Linked DNA regions of Rattus norvegicus. The protein of the gene in region 3 binds, or shares a complex with, the protein of the main gene of each other region. Links are inferred from orthologs where the notes say so. Each region holds a gene or a part of one and is shown on either strand. Other genes may lie near its edges.

Region 1 (7,640 bases), on a different chromosome or scaffold from region 3:
GGGAATTGCATCATTCCTAACCCAGTGTGTTCTCTAATTCCATTCTAATACTTATATGGGATGGATCCCCAGGTCGGGCAGTCTCTGGATGACCTTTCCTTCAGTCTCTGTTCCACTCTTTGTCCCTGTTATTTCTCTTCTAAGAAGGACTGATCATCCGCACTATGGTTGTCCTTTTTCTTGAGCTTCATATGATCTGTGAATTGTATCTTGGGTAGTCTGAGATTTTGGGCTAATATCCACTTATCAGTGAGTGCATATCTTGTGTATTTTTTTGTGATTGGGTTACCTCACTCAGGATATTTTTCTCATGCCATCTGTTTGCCTAACAATTTTATGAAGTGATTGTTTTTAATAGCTGAGTAGTACTCCACTGTGTAGATGTACCACATTTTCTGTATCCATTCCTCTGTTGAAGGGCATCTGGGCTCTTTCCAGCTTCTGGCTATTATAAATACAGCTGCTATGAACATAGTGGAGCATGTGTCCTTGTTATATGTTGGAGCATCTTTTGGGTATATGCCTAGGAGTGGTATAGCTTGATCCTCAGGTAGTACTATGACCAATTTCCTGAGGAACAGTCAGACTGAGAAATTAGACAAAAAGAGATCAAAGGGAAAGAAAAATTGGAAAGAAAGAAGTCAAAATATCACTATTTGCAGATGATATGATAGTATATTTAAGTGACCCCAAAAGTTCCACCAGAGAACTCCTAAACCTGATAAACAACTTCAGCAAAGTGTCAGAGTATAATATTATCTCAAACAAATCAGTAGCCTTCCTCTACTCAAAGGATAAACAGACTGAGAAAGAAATCAGGGAATATTGTAAAAATGGCCATCTTGTCAAAAAGCAATCTACAGATTCAATGCATTCCCCATCAAAATTCCAACTCAATTCTTCATAGAGTTAGAAAGAGCAATTTGCAAATTCATTTGGAATAACAAAAATCGTAGGATAGGGAAAGCTATCCTTAACAATAAAAGAATTTCTGTGGAAATCACCATCCCTGACTTCAAGCAGTATTACACAGCAATAGTGATAAAAACTGTGTGGTATTGGCACAGAGACAGACAGGTAGATCAGTGGAATAGAATTCATGACCCAGAAATGAACCCACTCACCTATGGTCAAAGGAGCCAAAACCATCCAATAGAAAAAAGATAGCATTTTCAACAAATGGTTCTGGTTCAACTGGAGGTCACCATGTAGGAGAATGCAAATTGATCCATTCTTATTGCCCTGTACAAGTGGATCATGGACCTCCCCATAAAGCCTGAACTAACACAAGAGAAAGAGGGGAAGAGCCTGGAACACATGGGCACTGGGGAAATTTTCCTGAACAGAACACCAGTGGTTTTGTTCTAAAATCAAGAATCGACAAGTAGGACATCATAAAATTGCAAAGCTTCTATAAGGCAAAGGACACTGTCATTAGGACAAAATGGCAACCAACAGATTGGGAAAAGGTCTTTACCAATCCTACATCCAATAGAGGACTAATATCTAATATATACAAAGAACTCAAGAAGTTAGACTCCAGAGAACCAAATAATTCTATTTAAAAATGGGGTACAGAGCTAAACAAAGAATTCTCAGCTGAGGAATATTGAATGGCAAGGAAGCACCTAAAGAAATGCACAAAAAAAAATGTTCAGTGAGGTTTTTTGGGGGGCAGGTGCTGAGGTCAGATGCCTCGGAAAATTGAGGAAAGCAAAGACCTTCTACTCACAGCCCTGCGGAAGGATACCAAATCTGTCAAGATAAAAAAGAACAAGGAGAATTCGAAATTCAATTCGCTGCAGTAGTACCTTCACTCCCTGGTTATCACAAACAAGGAGAAGGCAGAGAAGCTGAAGCAGTCTCTACCCCATGTATTTGGCAGTGAAGGAGCTGAAACGAACCAGACCTCTGCATGTGACTATTAAAAAGTAAAGAAATGTTCAACATCCTTAGTCATCAGGGAAATGCAAATCAAAACAACCCTGAGATTCCACCTCACACCAGTCAGAATGGCTAAGATCAAAAACTCAGGTGACAGCAGATGCTGGCGAGGAGGTGAAAGAGGATCGTTCCTCCATTGTTGGGACTGCTACAGCCATTGTAATAGGATTCCTATGGGCTGAGCCCCATGTGCTGTTTCCCTGCTGATTTTAACATGTATCTTTGTGAGGAAGCCCAATGCAAGTATTGTGAAATACCTCTAGTAAGCCTTTACCAAGCCTGAAGCTGGGAACCTGAACCGATGCGCAGACGCAGATGTGTGTACGTGCGCGCAAGCCTGCGCGCGTGCCCGTGTGCGTGCTCGCGGGCGTGCCCGCGGGCAGCCCGTGATCCAGTGCACAAACACACACTTGTGCGTTCTTGCGTGCTGGAGTGCTGAAGAGCTCACATAATTGTGCGGGTGAACATACGACACACAGACACACACATACACACATGTGAATGTGCACGCGCACCCCTCACATCCCCTCCCCCACCTACATGCTCTCGCGTTCTCGCGCTTGGATTGGATGCTGGGTGTGATTGCGTGTGTGTGTGTGTGTGTGTGTGTGTGTGTGTGTGTGTGTGTGTGTGTGCCCTCCACACACAGGCACGTCCCCTCCTCCTCTCCACATAAGCACACATTCTCATGTCCTTGAAATGTTTGTTGCTTGTGCCCATGTACACCACACACACATATTGTTGAAGGGCTGATTTCGTGACTCTCAGTTGAAACAAAGGTTCTAGTACTGTTATTTTGATAAATGGCTTTGGATGAAGTATTAACTTCATTAGGCCCTGGATTTTTTAATGCGTGGGTGGCATCAGTAAGCAGCACTTACATATTGATAGGAGGGCAAGATAAATGAAAAAATAATAATGCACATCACAGGTGCTCAGTAAAATGACTTTATGTCCATTTAACAAATAGATAAGAAATAAAATATTAAATGTATAGTTAATGATGTAATATTTGAAATTTTGAGGTATAACTGAGTAAACAGTAATATTTAATGATAACATCACAACGAAAGAATCATTTTAATGTTAATGCATACTACAGAAAACACAGTAATTAGTAACTTATATCTGATTAATGACATCACCATAATTTATATTGTATAATTTTATAATGTGTATTTAGATTATATTTAATAAAACATCCCTAATTTTGTAGATGTCATTTTACAAAACAATTTTTTAAAAAATTAGCATGCACAGTATTAGACATCACTATATTCATCAAAAGTCTTTCCATCAAAAACATGGGAGGTTCTTAGAGAGACTGCGCAGAAAAATTAACTGGATTACGTTTCCTCCCCCCTTCTGAAAAACATGGAGTATGTGCTTACACATCAATGCAAAAAAAAAAGAAAAGAAGTGGGCACACTTAGACAAGGATTCTGTAGCAAATTTTCATAACAAAAGAAAAAGAACAAAAAGCCATGTTTGTGTAATTCAATCAATAAATCTGTCATAGTCCCATAAATAAATAATATTGTAAATATTGCTAAAAATTCTTTTTGCATTTGAATTTGCTGCAAATATCCTTTTAAATATTCCCTTTTCTTCTCCCGAGAGCGCAAGTAATTGGTTACGCAACAGGTGAAATACTTGCTGGCATCTTTTTGCTTTAACGAAACAAAACAAAATCACAGAGGAAACGTTTCTACGACGTTTACACAGTTACAATAAAGGCAGAATTTACCATTTAGTAGATTCCCGGATAGCCTCCGTTTCGGGGGGCTTTAGGCATTGGGATGAGCCTACAATTGAAACGTAATCAATTACTGTACTTAGATGTAATGAAGACAGCCTGTCACTGCGCACCTGACTGTCAATCTACAAGGAAACACGCAGCAGCTCGAGGGGCATTTAAGCCCCTGAACCCCGATGGGAAGGCGAAGGCTGTGTCTGTCGGTCAGAGCACTGTGCAAGGCAGCCGGGACAAGCAAAAGAGAGGCCACTCGCGGGCATCCCCCGCCTCCAGCAGCCCGCTTGCGAGCATCCAAAAGCCTCCGGGAGTCCCTTTGCGCATCCCCGGGTCTTCGACAGTCTCATCGCCGTCCCCCCCAGGGACAGGGAAGGCCTCGGCCCCCACTACAGTGCGCCTGCCGGATACTCACGGAAAGGAGAGACAGCCGGACGACGCGAAGCGGCTCCCTGCGCCCAGGCAAGGGCTAGGGAAGCAGCAGCTCAACCCGCTCGACCGCTGGCCACGCACGCTGTCCAGTCAGCCCAGTGTCGCAGTGCGGGAGGCGCGCCGCCCGTGACGTCAGGCCCGCCTCTGCCGCTGTTACCTAGGTAACTGAGTCGCCGGGCAGAAGATGCCAGCCTGACCACGGCCACGCCCCCTACCCAGCCTCCGGAGCGCGTTTCCGGGGTCCGGCGGGCGCGCGCACCCGGCCGGAGGCTGAGTTCCGCCCTCAGCGCCGGAAGCGAGTCCCGAGTGCACGTCTCCCGCTAGTGAAACCTGTCGGCTCTCGCCGCGGGCAAAGCGCGGTCACTCAGAGCTTGAAGGAGAGTGTGTGTGTGTGTGTGGGGGGGGGGGGGACATAGGTGGGAGGTGACGCGTCCGGCGTAGATACGGGAACGAGTGGATGGATGGATGGATGGATGGATGGATGGATGGATGGATGGATGGATGGATGGATGGATGGGCGAGTGAGCGAATGAGGCAGCACAGCCGAGAAAGACTCGTCACCCCACAAAATGAGACGCGCCTTTAAATGTGAATGGGGATCCCTGCTGCAGACAAATCCTCAGGCGCCCGAGTTTACAGTGTGGAAAAGGGATTACGCCACATTTACTTTCCAACGCCCCCTCACTTCCGCTTCAGGCGCCATCTTGGGCTTGTGAGTCACCCAGAGTGGAAAAATACGAGGTGCATCATTTCCCTCAGAATCAGACGCCATTTTCGGCTGCTGCCCTCCCACACAACCTGTGGCTCCTTTGTATGGCGACAGTATTGCGTGATTGTCCGGAGGCCAGCTTTTCCGTTCTGACTGGTATCAGACCTAACAAAACACATCTCGTCAGGGTCTCAAAATGCAATGAGGAGACCACGGGAAATGTCACCAATATAAAGCCTGCATGTTGAGCTGCTGAGTTTGTCATTCAAAAAAACCCTCAAAATCCCCTCCTCTAAACCTATCTTGATTTAAGCTACCTCCATCCCTGCAGGGTTTTACCAAACCTATCTTTAATGTCCCTAGTGCAAAGCCTATCCATTACGGTTACCTAAGGCAACCTGCCAGTCTTTCTTACGCGGGAACTGGCCTCACTACCTGTGTCCTGACTCCAGTTTTGACTTCGAATTTTCTTTCCCAACAGTGCCAGACTAACCTTATTAATGTGAAGCTGGTAACGCTACTGGTACCCTCTTTTGAAAATTACTTCAAACGAGAACAATCTCATCACGTTGCCATGGATACGGATGCTCCCTCTCCCTGGGGTTACTCTCTCATTACCTTCTTTTATTCAGTTTTACACATTTTTTTTGAATTACGTACATCATGAAATAAGCAACATCGAATTGTATGTTGCACATAACTTTATGCAATATTGAATTATGTATGCAATGCCAATTTACACCCTTTTCTGCCATGACCCTCGTACATACTGCCCTCTCTTGAAAATCCTTTCGGAGTCGTGTCCCTTCTGTGAATCTTAGTAAGTTACCTATTAAATATTCTGAGCAGTCCCAATATGCTCACCTCATTAGACTGTGTGTTCTGATTCTAAACATTTTCATCGGGTTTTAATTTTTTCACCCGCAGCATGTTAAGGAGTATCAAATGGTATTTAGTGAACAGATATTCGATGAATTATGCGCTCCCAGAGCTATGCCTTTTGCCTTCTGTACCCTTCATCATGTATACTCTTAACATTTGAACTCCCAATTTCACAGTTGTAATGTTGGTTGCTTATTCTGCCTTAGGTATTATTCTCAGGACACAATTGGCTGACATCCATGCCAGTAACCGTTTTGGTCCCCATTTTTGTAACAGCTGAGTATATATATATATATGTATATGTATATGTATATATATATATAGTATTTGCAGAGGTATAGTGTGGAATAAGGCAGTCTTTCTAGCAGAAGTGACATTTAAAGCCTGACAACGTGTACAGCTATTTTTGGTTGCAAAGAATCTCTGGGTAAAATGACCTATGTGTCTACTGCTCTATAGTTTTTCCCCAGTTTTGTCTGTTGACTGGAGCTGGAAGTGGGATGGTAGGATGAACGAACATGCAGTACATACAAGACCTTGGCTTCTTGAGCACCATTCTCCTTTCAAAGAACTAGGGCCCCTTGGAGAAGCACTTAATTCTAGAACAGGAACAGACCATGTACGAAATGGAATTGAAAAAAAAAATTGTGACAGAAATTAAGGATGATGAAACTTATCAGAGATTGCCAGAAGTCATCTTGAAAAGGCCACAGCTGACTATAGACGGCTCAAACTAAGCACCTGTACAATCATGTTCGAGTGCGCAAAATAAGAATACTGAAAGCCACAGTGAAATAAAAGAGTATTTTGTAAACTCGAAAGAATTCTTCTTTAAATTAAAATTCCAACTAATATAGAAGGAATAGTATGTGCAGAAATATCACCATGTGACAACTATTATAAGAATCACTCATTTAGAAAAATTACTATATGCTAAGCCAGAGGGTAAGAAGTTTATAATGTTATTAATATTCACAAACTAAGTTGCCCATTAAGTGTACCTTTGTTATAAGGGGGGGGGAGAAAAACCTTGACACTGGTGTGGTGATGAAAATTAGTACAAGTAGTCAAGCAAATATCAACATCAAACCCCACCTGGGAAGAGGCATCATAATTAACCCATCACATGCTGGGTGACTTAAAGAATAGGAAGTCGTGTTTTCGTTTTTAGAAGTTAGACGTTCAGAACGGATGTGCCTGCAGGATTTCTCTCCTTGACTCAAAGACAGCTTTTTTTTTTCTTTTCCATGTCTTCACATGGTCTGCCACCACTCCACTTGATTGTGTCCAAATATCTTCTAAGGGTACTGTCATATTAGCTTAGGACCTATCCTAATGAACTTTTTCACTGAGACCCTCTCTTCCAAAACAGCCACATTGTAAAGTATTGGGCTCAGGACTCGAATTGATTTGGGGGTAAGTATAGCTCAGCCGTAACAATAGTGATTTATAGAAACAACAGTTCTATTGAATGGTGGGTTTCTGGTTCAGATGAAATAACTGTATAAAGATATATACTAAGCAAACAAATTTTATTGTGGTCTATGTATTAGATGCTATTAAGGGCTTGGGGATATGTAAGTATCTTTGTGCCTGTGTGTGTGTGTGTGTGTGTGTGTGTGTGTGTGTGTGTGTGTATGTGTGTGTGTACCTGAGAATTTCCTTTGCCTTTCCTCAAAGCCATTGATATAATCCTGCCAGCATTCTAAAATGATTTTCAATTTCCTTTTCAGAGTGTCTCTTTGACAAACTGAGCAAAATAGAGTTCGTTCTCTTTAATTCTGCCTATTAATGGGAACCTCTTTGTAGTAGTAACTTTCATTCAGACTTAGAAAAGGACTCCTTAAAATAATTTTCTCTCTGACGCACGCTATTTGGAGCGTAATTCTGAGAAAATCATACTTGCCCGTAGATACAGACGTG
Region 2 (7,780 bases), on a different chromosome or scaffold from region 3:
AACCCCTAATTGTGATATTTTTAATTGTCCAAGTTTTAGACATCTACCTTCCCACCACATGTGTATGTAGTGTCTTTAAATTACAGGAACATGTCACTGAAAGGTAAGGAATGCTTGAGGAATGTATTGCCCTTGCACAGAGGCTACCGGAACCCTCTGTGTCCTCCAGTTTTGGTATCTGTGCTGCTGAAGTGAGCCTGTATGTGTATATAAAGCCATACAGCCCGTGTACATATAACCTTGGGAAACAGAAGCCAGTGACATTTCCGAGGTAGATGAGATGGACTGACAACCAGGAGACAGTTATAAGAAAACTTTGTACAGGCTTCGCACTCAGCTCTCTTAAATTCACTGCTTATAAAAGTGTTTTGAGAAAGCTTTGAGAGATTTGCCTACAAAAAGGAGCAGATGTTCTGGGGTCAAAGGGATCTGTACTTGACAATTCGGTTAACAGAGGATAGTGCTCAGCGTTCGGCTGACAGAACTGCTTCAAGCCTGCAGCTGCTTGGGGAATTTCTCAGGTTGGGCTCAGCCTCCATCCTGAGCTGCTCAACTACCGCCCTCTTCACAGCATTGATGCTGGAGGAATGCAGCGGGGACCTCAAGAGCTGGGCCAATTTGTCCATCCTTACAAGGGGCAGCAAGGTCCTCTTGCTTTGTTGGGGGAAAAGGGTCTTACTCTGCAGCCCTGGCTGGGTGGAATTCACTTGTGGGTGGCGCTCCTGCCTCTGCATGCTGAGTGCTGAGATTGTGGACATGATCACCGGTTCTGGCTTCTTTAAGTTTTTAATGCTGAGGATTTCACCGAGGGCCTCAAGGCACAGCAAGTATACACTCACTGGTGAGCTAGCTGTGTCTCCAGTGTAAATATAACCTGCTTAATCGCAAGTTCACACTGCTTAATTTAAATAAGAGTTATGTTTGGCAACCTGTCAGTAAAGCTCCCGGAAAAAGTAATTTTTTCCAAGTTCAGTAAGACACATGCAAGGGTGTGGGTGTGGGCTTCTCACAGAGCTGTAGTTAAGTTTCTGAGCAATAGCTGAGACATATGTAACATTTTGGTGGCTCTCAAGTTACAACTTCAAGCTTTGCTACTAAACTCCTAAAATCTTTCTTTTTTGGGGGGTGAAGGGGAGGTAGCATGTACCACAATTTACAGGATTAAACAAGTCTGGGAGTGCTGGGAAATGTCTCTATATGCCCAAAGCTGAGTATAGGTCATATCACATCTATTTTCTCAGTATTGTTAATAGGGCTTTGCCTACGGTAAGGAGGTCATTGAATTGAAATGTGGGGATGAAGGCAAGAGACGCTTTAGGTCATAAGGGTTAAGGCCTCATCAGAAAGGATCTCCTGGTAAGCATGAGGAGGGGCCAAGGTTGCTTTCCCCACACCGAGCCTAGAGTGCTTTCTAGAAGCTGGGCAAACAATCAGCAGCAAGGCACTTGTTGTCATAGAAATAAGGTCTGAGCAATCAGTCAGTCATATACACAATTACTAAAAGCACCTTAAAGTCATGGCTCTGACCAGTGTTAGGAGAAATTTCAGGAGCACAGGACAAAATTCCTAAATTCTATCAGTCAGTACATGCGAAATAAATATGATCGTCAGAGAATCAGATAGGAGCAATCAGGATGTTGTCAGGTCCTGATTACACGGAAATGCTAATCAGCAGATCATGCAAGCTCCAATCATCATTTTCTATCTGCCCTCCGAGAGGAGGAACAGGTAAGGATTAACCTCCTGACGATAAAGGACAAAGGGAGCCCATTCCTAATTAAGTAAAGACATTCCATATTAAAGAAAGGGTGAGAATATGACAATTTAGCACGAACCCAATGACTTATAGTTATTGCAACTCAAGAGCAATATCTATTTGCAAGTCGCCTGAAATATTTTATTTTTCCATTCGGCGCAGAAAGAGAGAAACAAAGTTCTCCCATAATGCTCCGCTCACATACAGCAAATTAGAAGCCCTATGTGAGGTTCTTATTTACATATTCCCGCCCACTCACTTCCGCCTATTTTGTACCGTAAAAATCCAAATAGAAGCATAAGCTACTAGCTCACGTACAGAAGGCTAGAAAAAAGCCTTTATTTACATCAGCCTTTTGATTTACCCAATGGTCTTCTGACAAATAGTCTAAGCCTTGCTCTTATTATAAAATGAATTTTATTACAAAACTCTAATAAAATTATAACCCAAGATTTGTGAGATCTTATCCCAACATTGCCATTTTCTGTTTAGACGCAGTTGGGAGGAGCAAAAGACTAGGGCGAGAGAAAACTGAAGCCTCTCCCTTTCTTCTTCCAGCAATGGGAGGGAGTTCATCACGTTTCCGGCTTTGGTCTCTTCATCGGATTGTGATCAGAAGGGTTTCTTTTTCAGCCCAAAGACAGCGATGAATAACGCAGTTTCAGTGACAGCTGGAAAAGCGCTGTGGAAGTAGGGGGTGGGTTTAGAGCCCCTTCCGACCCAAACACTCAAACCTCCAAGCCTTATATGTGAGTGGGTTAGCGGATGGGTACGACTCTTTAAAACTCTACCAATTTCACATGTGCAGGAAAGGTCTAGGTGGGGGAAACCTTCAGATTTGGGGTAGACTTTCCACCACCCTCCATTCCAAAATAACCTGCAGAAGGCAAAAATGTACCAGTACGTGGTACATTCCCATCGCTCGAATATGAAGAAAGATAGGGCCACAGACGCGCTACAGTGGGCTGCAATGGCTTAAAAATACAGCAGAGTCAAGGAAAATAATAGGTAAGTGATGGGTCCCTTTAGTACTCGGACTTGGGCTCAGCTTGTTCCCTTCCCTTAAGACAAACACCAGAGTTGGCAGCCATGCCTTCTGAATTTGTGGACACTTATGTGTAAGAGGCCAGAGCTGAGTTTGTTTTGATAGGACCTCTCCCTGTACACTTTTGGGAGTTAATGTCACATATGCCCTAGGCCTCACAAGAATACCTACAGGTCTGATACACTGTGGGAATTTCTCCAGTGCTCTGGTCCTCCTTGTCCACAACTCAGAGTCAACGGCTATCTTTTTTTTTTTTTTTTTTTTTTTAAAAAACAGGGTCTCTCTATGTAGCCCTGGCTGATTTGGAACTCACTATGTAGGCCAAGCTGGCTTCGAACTTAGAGATTCACCTGCTCCTGCCTCCCTAGTGCTAGGATTAAAGGTTTGCAACATCACACCCGGGTATCGAGAACCTTCCTATGTGTCTCATTTTCTTGGTCCCTTTTGAGTTCCCACAATGGTTTGTATTTTGCACACTCCTACAGAATACTGTTTAATCACACTGATTTACAGATGTTTATCCATCTCTTCCTCAAACAGGATAAAGTGGTTTTACTCCCACTCATGGATCGCCAGAACCTGGCTCACATCAGGGTTTAAGGTTTGAAGTCTATTAATTCCCCAAAACTGTCTAAAACCTCTCACCTAGAGAGATTCGCTTTGCCACGTAGGGCAGAGACTTGTGCCCAAAAGGCCTACAGAAGTGGAAAGAGTGAGTGGTGATGATGTCGCATGGGGACGCTGGCCAGGCAGAAAGGATACAGAGGAGGCTCTGGGTGCTATTAAACATGGAGACTCCTGAGAGGAAGCCAGCCAGCTCCACTGCAAAGAGGCCCAGGGTGAGGCAGAGCGCTGCTACCAGTCTGCAGAGAGAAAGGGTGATGGACCTGGGTTTCCGGATTGCGTAGAAGACCCTGGCACTCTCACCCCGCCCCAAGAGCTCACTGGTTGTCCTGCTTCTCATATTCCTCCGGGGTGAACTTGAGAGGCAGGCAAGCCTGGATGTTGCTTTCCTGGTGAGCCGGGCAGAAAGAAAGAAAGAAATGTCAAAAGAGGGATGGGGTTGCGGGGGACGGGAGCAACGGACCCAGTGTGGGTCTGTGGGAGTGGACTGAGCTGAGCTGGGTCCACTCTAAGGTGAGAATGGGAGGGACAAGAAGACACGCGCGCGCGCCCTGTCCACGTCTTACCCGGGACCAGAACAAAGTGATGACAATCACCAGATGAGCCAAGAGCGTCAGGAATCGAGAGGGCACGAGCCCGGAGATCCGACCCATGGCCTCGGGGGCCCAAAGCGGAGGCCGTAGAAGTCTGAGGAGGGTCACTCATCAAGTCTCCCAGAGCAAGCAGGCCAGACCTCTCTACTTAAGCCTCCTTCCCGCGTGCTCAGGCGCCGCCCGGTTGCCATGGTAACTGCGTCCTCAGGCGCCATGCAGCTGCCTCCGGAAGTCTCGCGATAGTGCTGCGCCCTCTGCAGATGTCTATAGGCCAGGTACCCGAGCCGATGCTCACCTCCTGGTGCTTGTGGGATGAATCCGGGAGGATGCACCCGTAACCACCAAATCCTCCCTTTTCCTGTGCTTCCCACTCACTGCCTTGGGCGCCAGGAGATGAGGGAACGAAGGAGTAGAGCTTCAGCACCGAGCTTTGCCCCACAGTCTCGCCAAGCCCTCCCCGCCCCCCCCCCACAGCCCCTGGTTGTCAGAGGGCTCCCTCTCCCACCCAAGACCAAACCTCTGCCGATGAACGACTCTAATTTCTCCCTAAATAACTTGTCTCGGTTTCATGAAAGATTTGCCGAGTGCAGAAATGAGCAACCTTGGAATGGGTAGAATAGGATGTGGGTGGATGAGGTGACAGCCTCCTCGGGATCCCAAGGGATCTGAAAAGGTGAAGAATGGAGTGGGGGACTAGAACAGCTTGTGCGCCCCTGGGAGGCTTAAACCAGGCTGATTCACCACCGATTTCACTCTCGCTTTGAGTTGCCAGGCCGCGGACATTGCTCAGTTACAGACCCAGAACCTCTTCTTAGGGTGATGTGACTGATTTGGGGCTTCGGATGAAATGCCTGCGATCGGAAAGTTCTCACTACCATCCCAGTTCACAATCAAGTCCCATTGACAATGAACCTCCTCCTTTTGCACCCCCTCTTCTCTCATTTCTCTGTGTGTGTGTGTGTGTGTGTGTGTGTGTGTGTGTGTGTGTGTGTGCCTCTAAACCAGCCTAAAAGACAAGACCCAGAGGGATTTCATTCATTCAACAAATATCTGATGTCTCCCAGATGCCAGGCACTGTGCTTGACTCAGAATACATCGATAAAGTCCCTCCAGTTTATATTCTAGGCAGAGAGACTGATAACAAAACAAACAAACAAAACAAAACAAACAAATACACACACACACACACACACACACACACACAAAACCCCAACAAAACCCTGCAAGGTAATGTATGCTGTAAATTTAAAAACTTTAAAGGGTGACACTAGAATAATATCAAAGGAAAGTTTTGAAATAGATAATTCCTAAATTTTCGTTTCAAGGAATTGGGGGGAGGGGGAGAGAGAGAGGAAATGTTTCTGTCTCCCTAAAGTAATACATGGGGTCCCCTTACCTAAACCAGTGAGTAAAAACATTTAGAATGCAGAGTCAACGTTTTTTACTTAAAGGTCATGAAAGACAGGCTGGAGTTCTTCCCACTGAGTGGGGGATAAACCTAACCTAACATGAGATCCCAAACCAGACAAAAGACACCCCCCACCCACACACACACTCACACTTTCATTATAAAAGACTGGTGGAATGTTTGACAAACAGTATAGTATTTGTAACTTAAATAACAACAACGTAGATTTTTTTAATTTTTTATTTATTATATATGAATACACTGTAGCTGTCCTCAGACACACCAGAAGAGGGCATCAGATCCCATTATAGATGGTTGTGAGCCACCATGTGGTTGCTGTGAACTCAGAACCTCTGGAAGAGCAGTCAGTGCTCTTAACTGCTGAGCCATCTCTCCACCCCCAATGTCCTGATTCTTTTCTTCAGTATTGGAGATAAGCTTTTGCATATAGGTAATAGGTAAGCACCCTCCACTGAGCTATACTTCCACTTTCCCTTCTGAGTCTTATAGTATATCTTCATCGATGCATAGAGTGGCATTCTAAGTCATTTGTAGCATTAAATGTTCTTATTTATTGAAATTCCCCCTTTATATTGAAACTTCTGCCTGTGCTGCACTGGGAATCAAATGCAGAGTCTGGACCACACGAAAAAACTGCTTTCCTACCGAGCTCCTACATGGTGAAATTTTATAGTAACTTTTTCATATAAATATGAATCTTAAGCTGGATAAGGGGAAAACACCTACAGTCCCAACACTTGGGAGGTAGAGGAAAGAGGGTCAGAAATTCGAGATCGTGCTCAGTTAGTCGGTTCAATAAAACAAAGAACTAAAATGACTTTACAAACAAACTGTAGAGGTGGCTCAGTGGTTATCCCAGCACCAGGTGTTAATCCCAGCACTCAGGAGGCAGAGGCAGTCAGATCTCTGTGTTCGAGGCGAGCCTGCTCTACAAAGCAGGACAGCCAAGGCTACACAGAGAAATCCTCTGTTGAAACAAAGATCACAGAACACTCTTGTTAAATTCAGTTCCCAGCACCCGTATTGTGTTGCTTACAACCTCTTGTAACTCTAGAGATTCGGTGCCCGCTTTTGGAAGCTGCACACAAACACACACAACACACACTCAATGCACACACACACTCATACACACATACATATGGACTCACACTCAATGCACAAACACACTCAACACACAACACAGACTCACACTCAATGCACACACATACACACGGGCTCACACTCAATGCACACACACTCATATACATACACACACGAACTAACACTCAATGCACACACATACATTCACACACACACTCAATGCACACACACTCATACACACACAGCACACTCATACACACACGCATGCATACACACACACAGACTCACACTCAATGCACACAAACACACACACCACACTCAACACACACACGGACTCACACTCAATGCACACACACATATTCATACATACACACACGTTCATACATACACAAACACACACACACGGACTCACACTCAATGCACACACACATTCATACACACACACAGACTCACACTCAATGCACACACTTATACACAATATTTAAAAGAAATTGTGAGGCCTGGTGGCTCATAGCTTTAGTTCCAGCACTCAGGAGGCAGAGGCAGACAGGTCTGTAAGGTACATAGTAAGGGGGTTGGGGATTTAGCTCAGTGGTAGAGCGCTTTGCCTAGCAAGCGCAAGGCCCTGGGTTCGGTCCCCAGCTCCGAAAAAAAGAAAAAAAAAAGGTACATAGTGAGATCCTGTCTCAAAAAAGATACGTCAGTTAATTAGTTTAATCAAGTCACCTCTTAGCTCCATATGGTGGCACACTGAAGACAGCCAGGGCTAACAGCTAACAAACATTGTTGGTTTGGTTTGGTTTGGTTTTGAGACATAGTCTCATATATAGCTCCATCTTTCCTAGAATCCACTATGCAGATCAGGCTGGTCCGCCCGCGAACTCACAGAGACCCTCCTGCCTCTGGGTTCAAAAGTGTTCATCACCATTCCTAGCTACATTTATTTACTTTTTTTTGGGGGGGGGGGTATTCTCCATCATAGAAGTCAGGGTGCTGTAAAATATGTCACTGCGCTTAAGGGCACAGACAAAATGAAAGAACGCAAGAGTTCGAGTCTTTTCCCTGCCTGTGACTTGTGAGGCTGAGCTCGGTGACGACGTAGCTGGCGACTATCTCCAGGCAGAAGAAGCTGTGTCAGAGGACTAAGTGAGGAAAGGCTCGGGCTTGCGTTGGAGGATTTCCAAAGATCTAAGGGCAGGAGCCAGCCGCTTGGAGATCTGCGGAAACAGCATTCCAGACGAGGGAGGAGCCAG
Region 3 (6,980 bases):
AAGGGAGGCTCCTTTCTCTGTGATAACTCCAGCTTGTGTCAAGTTGACACGCAAACCCAGCCGGTACATCAGAGGCACTGAGAAATGGCTGCCATCCTTTGGCAAACAGGAACACAGGTGTGACAAGGTATTAAGGAAAAAAACCTAATTAAATACCTCACAGTATTTTCCCTTTTCATCCTCAGCAAGTGCAGCGCCGGATCCTGACTTCTGAAATATATTTAAAGCATTTACCCTGGTAGTAACTATTTACTGAGGGAAGAAGGTTGAATTGCTTCTATGTAGGTGGTTTTAAAACTCCATGCTGCTTCATTTATTCACCTCTGTCGTTTTTATAAAGACATCCCTGTTCTGAGGCCCTTCAGACACTTAACCTTTTCTCCTTCCCTGTTCTGTTCAGTCATCCACAAAACGAAAGATCCAGCTTGGGCAGCGGCTGGACACCCTGCCCCAAGAGCACTGCATTCCTGAGTGCTAGCTCTTCTGGCAGACACAGATCAAACAGGAAATAGCAATGTAAAATATTTTATTATCTATTTTCAATTCACAGGTATATACAGTATGTACACAGCACTGCGTTTACATGTTACACAGCATCATTGTGAGAAGCAGACACGTTGTCTGGGGGTGTGGCAATCATCAGCAGCACCAGGGCTCTCCAAGTCTATGACACACCATGAAAAGACACACTTAAGAGTGTACTGAGGGGAAAATAGAAAAAGATCGACTATATGGTTCAGGATTTACTGTAAAAGTATCTTGAATCCATTTATTTTCCTTAGTAGAAAATAAGCTACTGCCTCATGAAGTCGAAGTTTGCTTCCAATAAATTGGTCAACATAAGGTGATATATTTATGGTCTATTATTTGTAATATTTAGTCATAATTGAAAAGCAACACTTTGGAGAAGTACTCTTAAAATATCAAAGTACGTGAAAAAATCCTATATTGTGAAAAATATCACCCAGTTTAACAAATGTAATGACATCAGGAACCAGGTACATAAAAGGACTGGATGCTTTGTCTAGTGGGGACGGACCCACCTACTGACAGACAGGGTGAGCTATTAGAGTCATCAGTAACGCGAACCAAATTAAATCTGAAAATACCTCTTAAAATTTATTTAACCACGAATATTAATAAAATGTGAAAATACTGAACAGAACAGTAGTTTTGAGCCTAGAAAAATAGATTTAAGCTGTGAGGAAAAGCAGGCAGGTCCTGTTCTGAAACGACAGTGCTGGGGTTAGCTTGCCATCAAGGCCTGGGAAAGCATGGAAAGTGGGATTGGGAGGGGTTGGCTTTGTTTTGTGTTGTTTATTTGTTCGCCTCCTGGTCAGCGTTAATGCATTATTTAGTAAATTAAATACAACACATAATGGGGAAATAGTATTTCTACTATATCTTATATTTTACAAGCTATAAAAATAAATCTTTCTGTAGATAAAAAAAGGAAGAATAATATGTATTACGAGTTTTACAAAAGATAGCCTGACATCACGGCTTGGCCCCATTATACTGAGTCCTCAGGTTTTGCATCACAGATTAGATCAGAAATCTTTCATCCACTAGTGTTTTGGTTGCTAAATTCTTTTGTCCTACTGTATTTCGGATAAATCGAAAAATCTAGAAAAGCAAAACAATTAAGAAGAAAATTAAATATGCAAATCAATTTAAAGTACCTAAATTAAACTAGCTAATTTTCCCAACCACTTCATATCATGAATGAGATACTTTAATTACTAGATATATTTATTTTAAAATATACATATTAGGAAATGTTTTTATGAATTATATACATACTTCTCATGCTTGCAAGAATATACTTTTAAATACTTAAGGAATTTAACTCCTAAAACTATGGAAAGATCAAAAACATCTCCCTGGTAAGGGAAGAATTTGCTATGATTCTAAATCCAGGAATAATACACCATGTAGAAACTCATTTATCCTTCGTGAGAGAGGGTGTTTGGGTGCTACCAATAACGGCATTTCCAGCACAGCTGCCATTTCTTGAAATGGTCCCCACAGTGAGACGTGTGCAATCGAGTACAGCCCTGAACCACATGCCCAGTGTTTGCTCCTTGTGTGTGAATGGGACTTAGGGAAATTCGTGCTCACTTTTGGTATGTGGGAGACGGGTGGTATGTAAGTATCTTCCTAGGCATTAAAGCCACTTTCCTTCCACTGGATCCTTGAACATTTATGGTCCCCAGGGGCAGAGTGCGGTGTGGTCTGCTGAATGGTTCTTTCCTTTGGCGGTGTTAATCATAATCTAAACATTCACCAAGCCTACTCAAAGTGGATGCTCTCACATTCTGTTGAGAAAATACATACCCTCACTTCTAACATGGCTGCTTTAGGAGAAACCAGAACACGCTGTTACTTACCTCTTGCTGCAGGTAGGTGAGGAAGGATGCTAAAACAAAGTTCTGGCAAGCCAAGTCCACGACACAGAAGAACAACAGATCAAAGATAAGGAGAGTGGCCTCGTTCCCATAATACAGCACACTGCTGAAAGAATGACTTTCATCTAGGAAAGCCATGGAAGATGTGTCAGTCAGTGACAGAGAAGATCCGTGCTACCCCCCGGCCACAGCAGATTAAACATGAGGTACATCTTGGCTCACACTAAAGTAGAAGGTGCTTCAGACTGCCAGTCTAAAATGGTAGTCAGGGCACGCAGAAACACCCACAAGCAGGAGTTTCAACATCAAAGCAAATGTTGATAATTGCTACAGAGTGCGTATGCTACGAACACCTTTAAGGAGCAGTTACTGAATCCTCGTCCTCTGCTTATAGAGCTAACAGCTAAACTAATCTTAGAGATAGTGTCCAAGAAAAGAATAAAAGATAAGAATCTAAGTCACAGTGCGAGCATGGGCTTCCTGTGTCAGTTTCCTACAGTTTGGTCCTCTGCCTCAACACACAATTCTGTCCTTTTGGGGATTTGAACACCTTCTTAAAAGACCTGAGAAGTTTCCTGTCACCATGGAAAGTAAACAAGCACAAAACCCGAATGTTCGCCTCCTCTTCCTCCCCAGAGCTGCTCTGCTATGTTCCTTAATGACACCTCTTCCTGTCTCGTTACCTTCATACTGGGTCAGTTCACACACTTCAGAATCCATCTGACTAGGCTGACCTAATCAAGTCCCCATCGTTTCTATATGAAATCATAAAGATCAATGGAAGAATGACTGCCAGCACCCCGTCTCCCCCAAACAGGCCTCAAGCTCAGCAAGGACACGAGGGTCACCATTGTAGAAGATGCTCTTCTCCAGGGGCTCCATGAACTCCATCCCGAGGATCTTTTCGAGAAGCAACTTGTCTTTTATGAAGTAATCCATTTCCTTATGAACCTAGTTTGCGAAGACAGTCATGTAAAAAACTGTAGTGAAGTCAATGCTTTCTAATTAATGAAAAATTAGAACTACAAAAGCTGAGAACACATAACATACAAAGAAAAACTTGTATAAAACGAATCACTATGCTAGAATTTAAACTAATAAATATTAATTTTAAATATTAAAAATTATTTTAGAAATATTTTAAATCTTGAATTCTTAAATTTAAGACTGAAAATCTTTAAGATTTTAGTTTAATTTAAAATTAAGATCTGAAAATTGATTTATAAGATGCTTTTTAAAAATACAATCATAGTGTAAGGATTTCAATGTGAGATAACATTTTGGCGACATACAATTCTAGTATAGTATAAAGTTCTACAATAGAATTTTATGGGACATATAAAAGGGAGTCATAATTTGCTAATGGTCACATTAAAATCACATTTTTCTTTTAGATAATCTAACTTTATGTAATCTAACTTTATGTTTAAACCATAAGTTGTTAGTGGCTGCAAATGCTTTTTAAAAAAATATTCCTATGTGTTAGGATGACAGAAAAGCATGGGTTCACTGACACGGCTGAGTGAAAATATAACTGAATTCTCATTTAACTTTTCAAAGCCAGCAGACCACCCTGGCTACAGACAGACAGACATCCAAACACATACGTGGTCAATGAAAGAGCCGAGGAACTTATTCATTGCGTGGTATGCCTTTATACTTTGTTCCAAGGTACTCCCTGATGAGCTCAGCAGTCTGGCAGGGCCATTTCTCTAATATGCAGGAGAGAAACGTGTAAGCACAGCACGCCTGATGCGGGACTTAAATGACCTAAGGATGGTGAAATACGCGTGAGCAATACTTTACAGACCCTTGTTAATGTCTCGTGAATTCTGTCATAGTGCTGTCTCATCTGACTGGAAACGGCAATCTGAAACGTCTGCCCATCTGTGTTGGGCACCAAACCTCTTTGACTGCACAAATTTTCCTAAAAAACAAAAAATTTAAGGGTTTAAATTAAGATAGAAATGATTGCAAAAGGCCTTTTAAAAAAAGAAAGTTCTTCAGCTTGTTCACGTTACAAGATTTATTAATCTAATGGAATCTTGCTGATACTGGACTTGAGACGAACACTAGTGTTTCTCACTGTGGTCACAGTTTCCCACAGATCTGTGGTCTCAGTCACTTCACTCTCATTCCAGCTTCCCCGTCGTCGCGGTGTCACCTCCTGTACTCTGCTCTAAACCACTGAGCTCACTGTACAGTTTGTACCTTAGTTTTCACCGCGAGGACCTTACCTTCTTTAACGTTTGTAAGACTGAACAGTGGAAGTATGGATACCTTCTCACAGACTATACACGACGAACACGAACTCACTGTTGCAGTAGCTCAGTGCCCAGCCAGTTCCCACTGACGGCTCACGGCCCGTCAGATTCTGCCTCCGTGACTCCTTCTCAGAACTTACTACTCTCTCTCGCCTGATCCCACCCAGCGAGCAGGACAGCCTTTGGTTTCCACAAATGTAAAGGAAGATATATATGAGATTCTCTATTTTGAATAAAAATTTAAATTAACAAAGTATAGGAAATTGTGGGGAATGAAGAATGCATAAACTATGAAGAGGAACCAAGAAAAGATCAGCTATAAATTTCAATATCTGGACTGGATATATTAAAGCACATCATTTCCAGCTCTTTTCTAAGTCACAAACATACACAGAACAACAACAACAATGACAACACTCGGAATTACACTTTTTTTTTTGTTAAACATCATATCCCGAGCAATTTTCCATACATACATAGTCATTTGGGGAGGTAGAAAGGATGACTTTTATTTATATATAAAAAGTGGCAGCATAGGAAAATCAGCCAGGCACAGTCTGATATCTCTGCTCAGTCGGTTCTGATGACCCCAGTCTTCGTAGCTTCCATCTGGTCGGTAGCCGACAACGCCAGGAATCCTCTGGGCCTTGAGCTCCTTCACTGCGAGGGTCTCCTTCCGCTCAGGCTTCACCATCCCCGGGGCACACTCGGAGAGCTGGAGGGCTGGGGACCCAGCACCCACTGGCTTGCTAGTACTTGATCATGTGTGGAGTAGTGACTCTCACTGACTTTCAGTTGCTCCCTAGTCCTGCTGGGCATTTTCCAAGACATTTATGCCTGCATCCTCCTCCTTGTCCCCTTCAAAGTCATTGCCACTGAAGGTCCTCATTGTCTGACATGAGGACAGTGGACTCCCATCTTTAATATAAAATAGTTAAGCACTAACTTCAGAGGTTTAATTGTAAAGGTAAACCAGCCTACACAATCCTCTCAAACGTTTGCATGCTTTCTTCCTGTGGAAAAATCTAGACTCTAAGAATTTTCCTTGGGTTAAAATTCACATAAGCAGTCTAAGACTAGAGAGTCCCAAGAATCTCCTGACGTTTACTACTCAAAACATTTTCCAGTTGTAAAAACCTTCCTGATAACACCTGTCTTACGGTTCACATTTTATTAACCATTAGCTTCACAGAAGTATGGCAAGTTGAAGACGGAGCACCATGGTTTTAGATATCAATATCGCTGACATATTAGTTATATGCACTTTACCCTAATTTGCTATCTTGTAATTGTGACTGACATATATGTCCTATGATAGTAAACTAAACTGAATTACTACTCACGTCCTGAGGCTTTCCAAAGGGTACACTTTTGATGGCACTCCTCGGTTGTCATCTTTGTTCCCAGGGGCTTACGGCTTAAATTATTACAGGTAACCTTTCAACCCACAGTCGCGTCTAAGAGCTAAGGGAGGGTTTAGCTCCTCAATTCTCCAAGTCGCAGATATGGGCTCAGTGAACCCCTAAGGCTTTCTTCTTAGCACCCCTTGTTCTTTTTTGGGGTGTCCTTGCTCGGGTCTCAGTATCATCAACCTTTAGCCAATCTTTGTTTCATTTATCTCCCCAGGTTTCTTTTATTTAGGGTATTTTACTGTAGACTTAAGATCCTGTCATTTCACTTGTGATTCTCTAATAAGGATTTAATGAAACAACCGCCACTGTCATTTTTATAACTAACAAAATTAATCACTTAATAGAACAGCGAATGATTATGTCAGACTTTCTCGGTATCTTAAGCTTCGCTGCCCTGTTTCCTAGTGTCCCTCAAGCAGGATCTCCTCTACCCCACCATCAGCCCTCCTCTCCTTTAACGCCGTTGGTTTGTTACAGACAGTCAGCCATGTGCTCTGTGGTGCGCTGCACATTGGATGTGCTAAGGACTTCTATCAGCTCTGTCTCGGTTGCTCCTCTGGACTCTGTTCTTCCTATAAAACCGTGGTTAAACTAGAGATTTGATTGTCTTCAGGCTCGGTCTTCCCAGCACAGCAGGAAGTGCAGTGTCGGCTTGCTTCATTTTTAACTGACTGAAAGGAGTCTCTGTGTCCGGATCCCGTGAGCCTGACCCTTCGCTAGAGCTGCCATTGACACGCTCTTGTTTAAGAACCACTGATGACTGCAGTCTGTCTTTCCACCCATTAGTCTCAGTGCACTGGTGCTCCCCTAACTCAAACATCCTCCCTCTCTCCCTGCAGAGGAGGAAGAACTTTCCTGGCGCACTTGATTACTCTGAAATCCATGGAGACTGCAGA

What was found. Proteins that work in one complex are often made in the same cells at the same time.
Region 1: Tmem67 (region 3) and Ahi1 share a complex: the UniProt entries of both Homo sapiens proteins name them as parts of the tectonic-like complex. The link is inferred for Rattus norvegicus from reciprocal best matches to the Homo sapiens genes TMEM67 and AHI1.
Region 2: Tmem67 (region 3) and Tmem107 share a complex: the UniProt entries of both Homo sapiens proteins name them as parts of the tectonic-like complex. The link is inferred for Rattus norvegicus from reciprocal best matches to the Homo sapiens genes TMEM67 and TMEM107.

What each region holds. Positions count from the first base shown.
Region 1 is NC_086019.1:17,578,600-17,586,239, reverse strand, and holds the start of Ahi1 (jouberin), read right to left. Parts: upstream 4,210-7,640; 5' UTR 4,110-4,209; intron 3,750-4,109; exon of another isoform or gene 3,692-3,749; intron 1-3,691. UniProt on the Homo sapiens protein: Involved in vesicle trafficking and required for ciliogenesis, formation of primary non-motile cilium, and recruitment of RAB8A to the basal body of primary cilium.
Region 2 is NC_086028.1:54,267,625-54,275,404, reverse strand, and holds Tmem107 (transmembrane protein 107), read right to left. Parts: upstream 4,210-7,780; 5' UTR 4,079-4,209; coding exon 3,992-4,078; intron 3,815-3,991; coding exon 3,747-3,814; intron 3,689-3,746; coding exon of another isoform or gene 3,665-3,688; coding exon 3,564-3,664; coding exon of another isoform or gene 3,447-3,563; intron 2,731-3,446; coding exon 2,634-2,730; coding exon of another isoform or gene 2,439-2,633; coding exon 2,369-2,438; 3' UTR 1,885-2,368; downstream 1-1,884. UniProt on the Homo sapiens protein: Plays a role in cilia formation and embryonic patterning. Requires for normal Sonic hedgehog (Shh) signaling in the neural tube and acts in combination with GLI2 and GLI3 to pattern ventral and intermediate neuronal cell types.
Region 3 is NC_086023.1:30,333,284-30,340,263, forward strand, and holds the end of Tmem67 (meckelin precursor), read right to left. Parts: intron 4,336-6,980; coding exon 4,219-4,335; intron 4,121-4,218; coding exon 4,016-4,120; intron 3,360-4,015; coding exon 3,257-3,359; intron 2,534-3,256; coding exon 2,391-2,533; intron 1,627-2,390; coding exon 1,546-1,626; 3' UTR 510-1,545; downstream 1-509. UniProt on the Homo sapiens protein: Required for ciliary structure and function. Part of the tectonic-like complex which is required for tissue-specific ciliogenesis and may regulate ciliary membrane composition.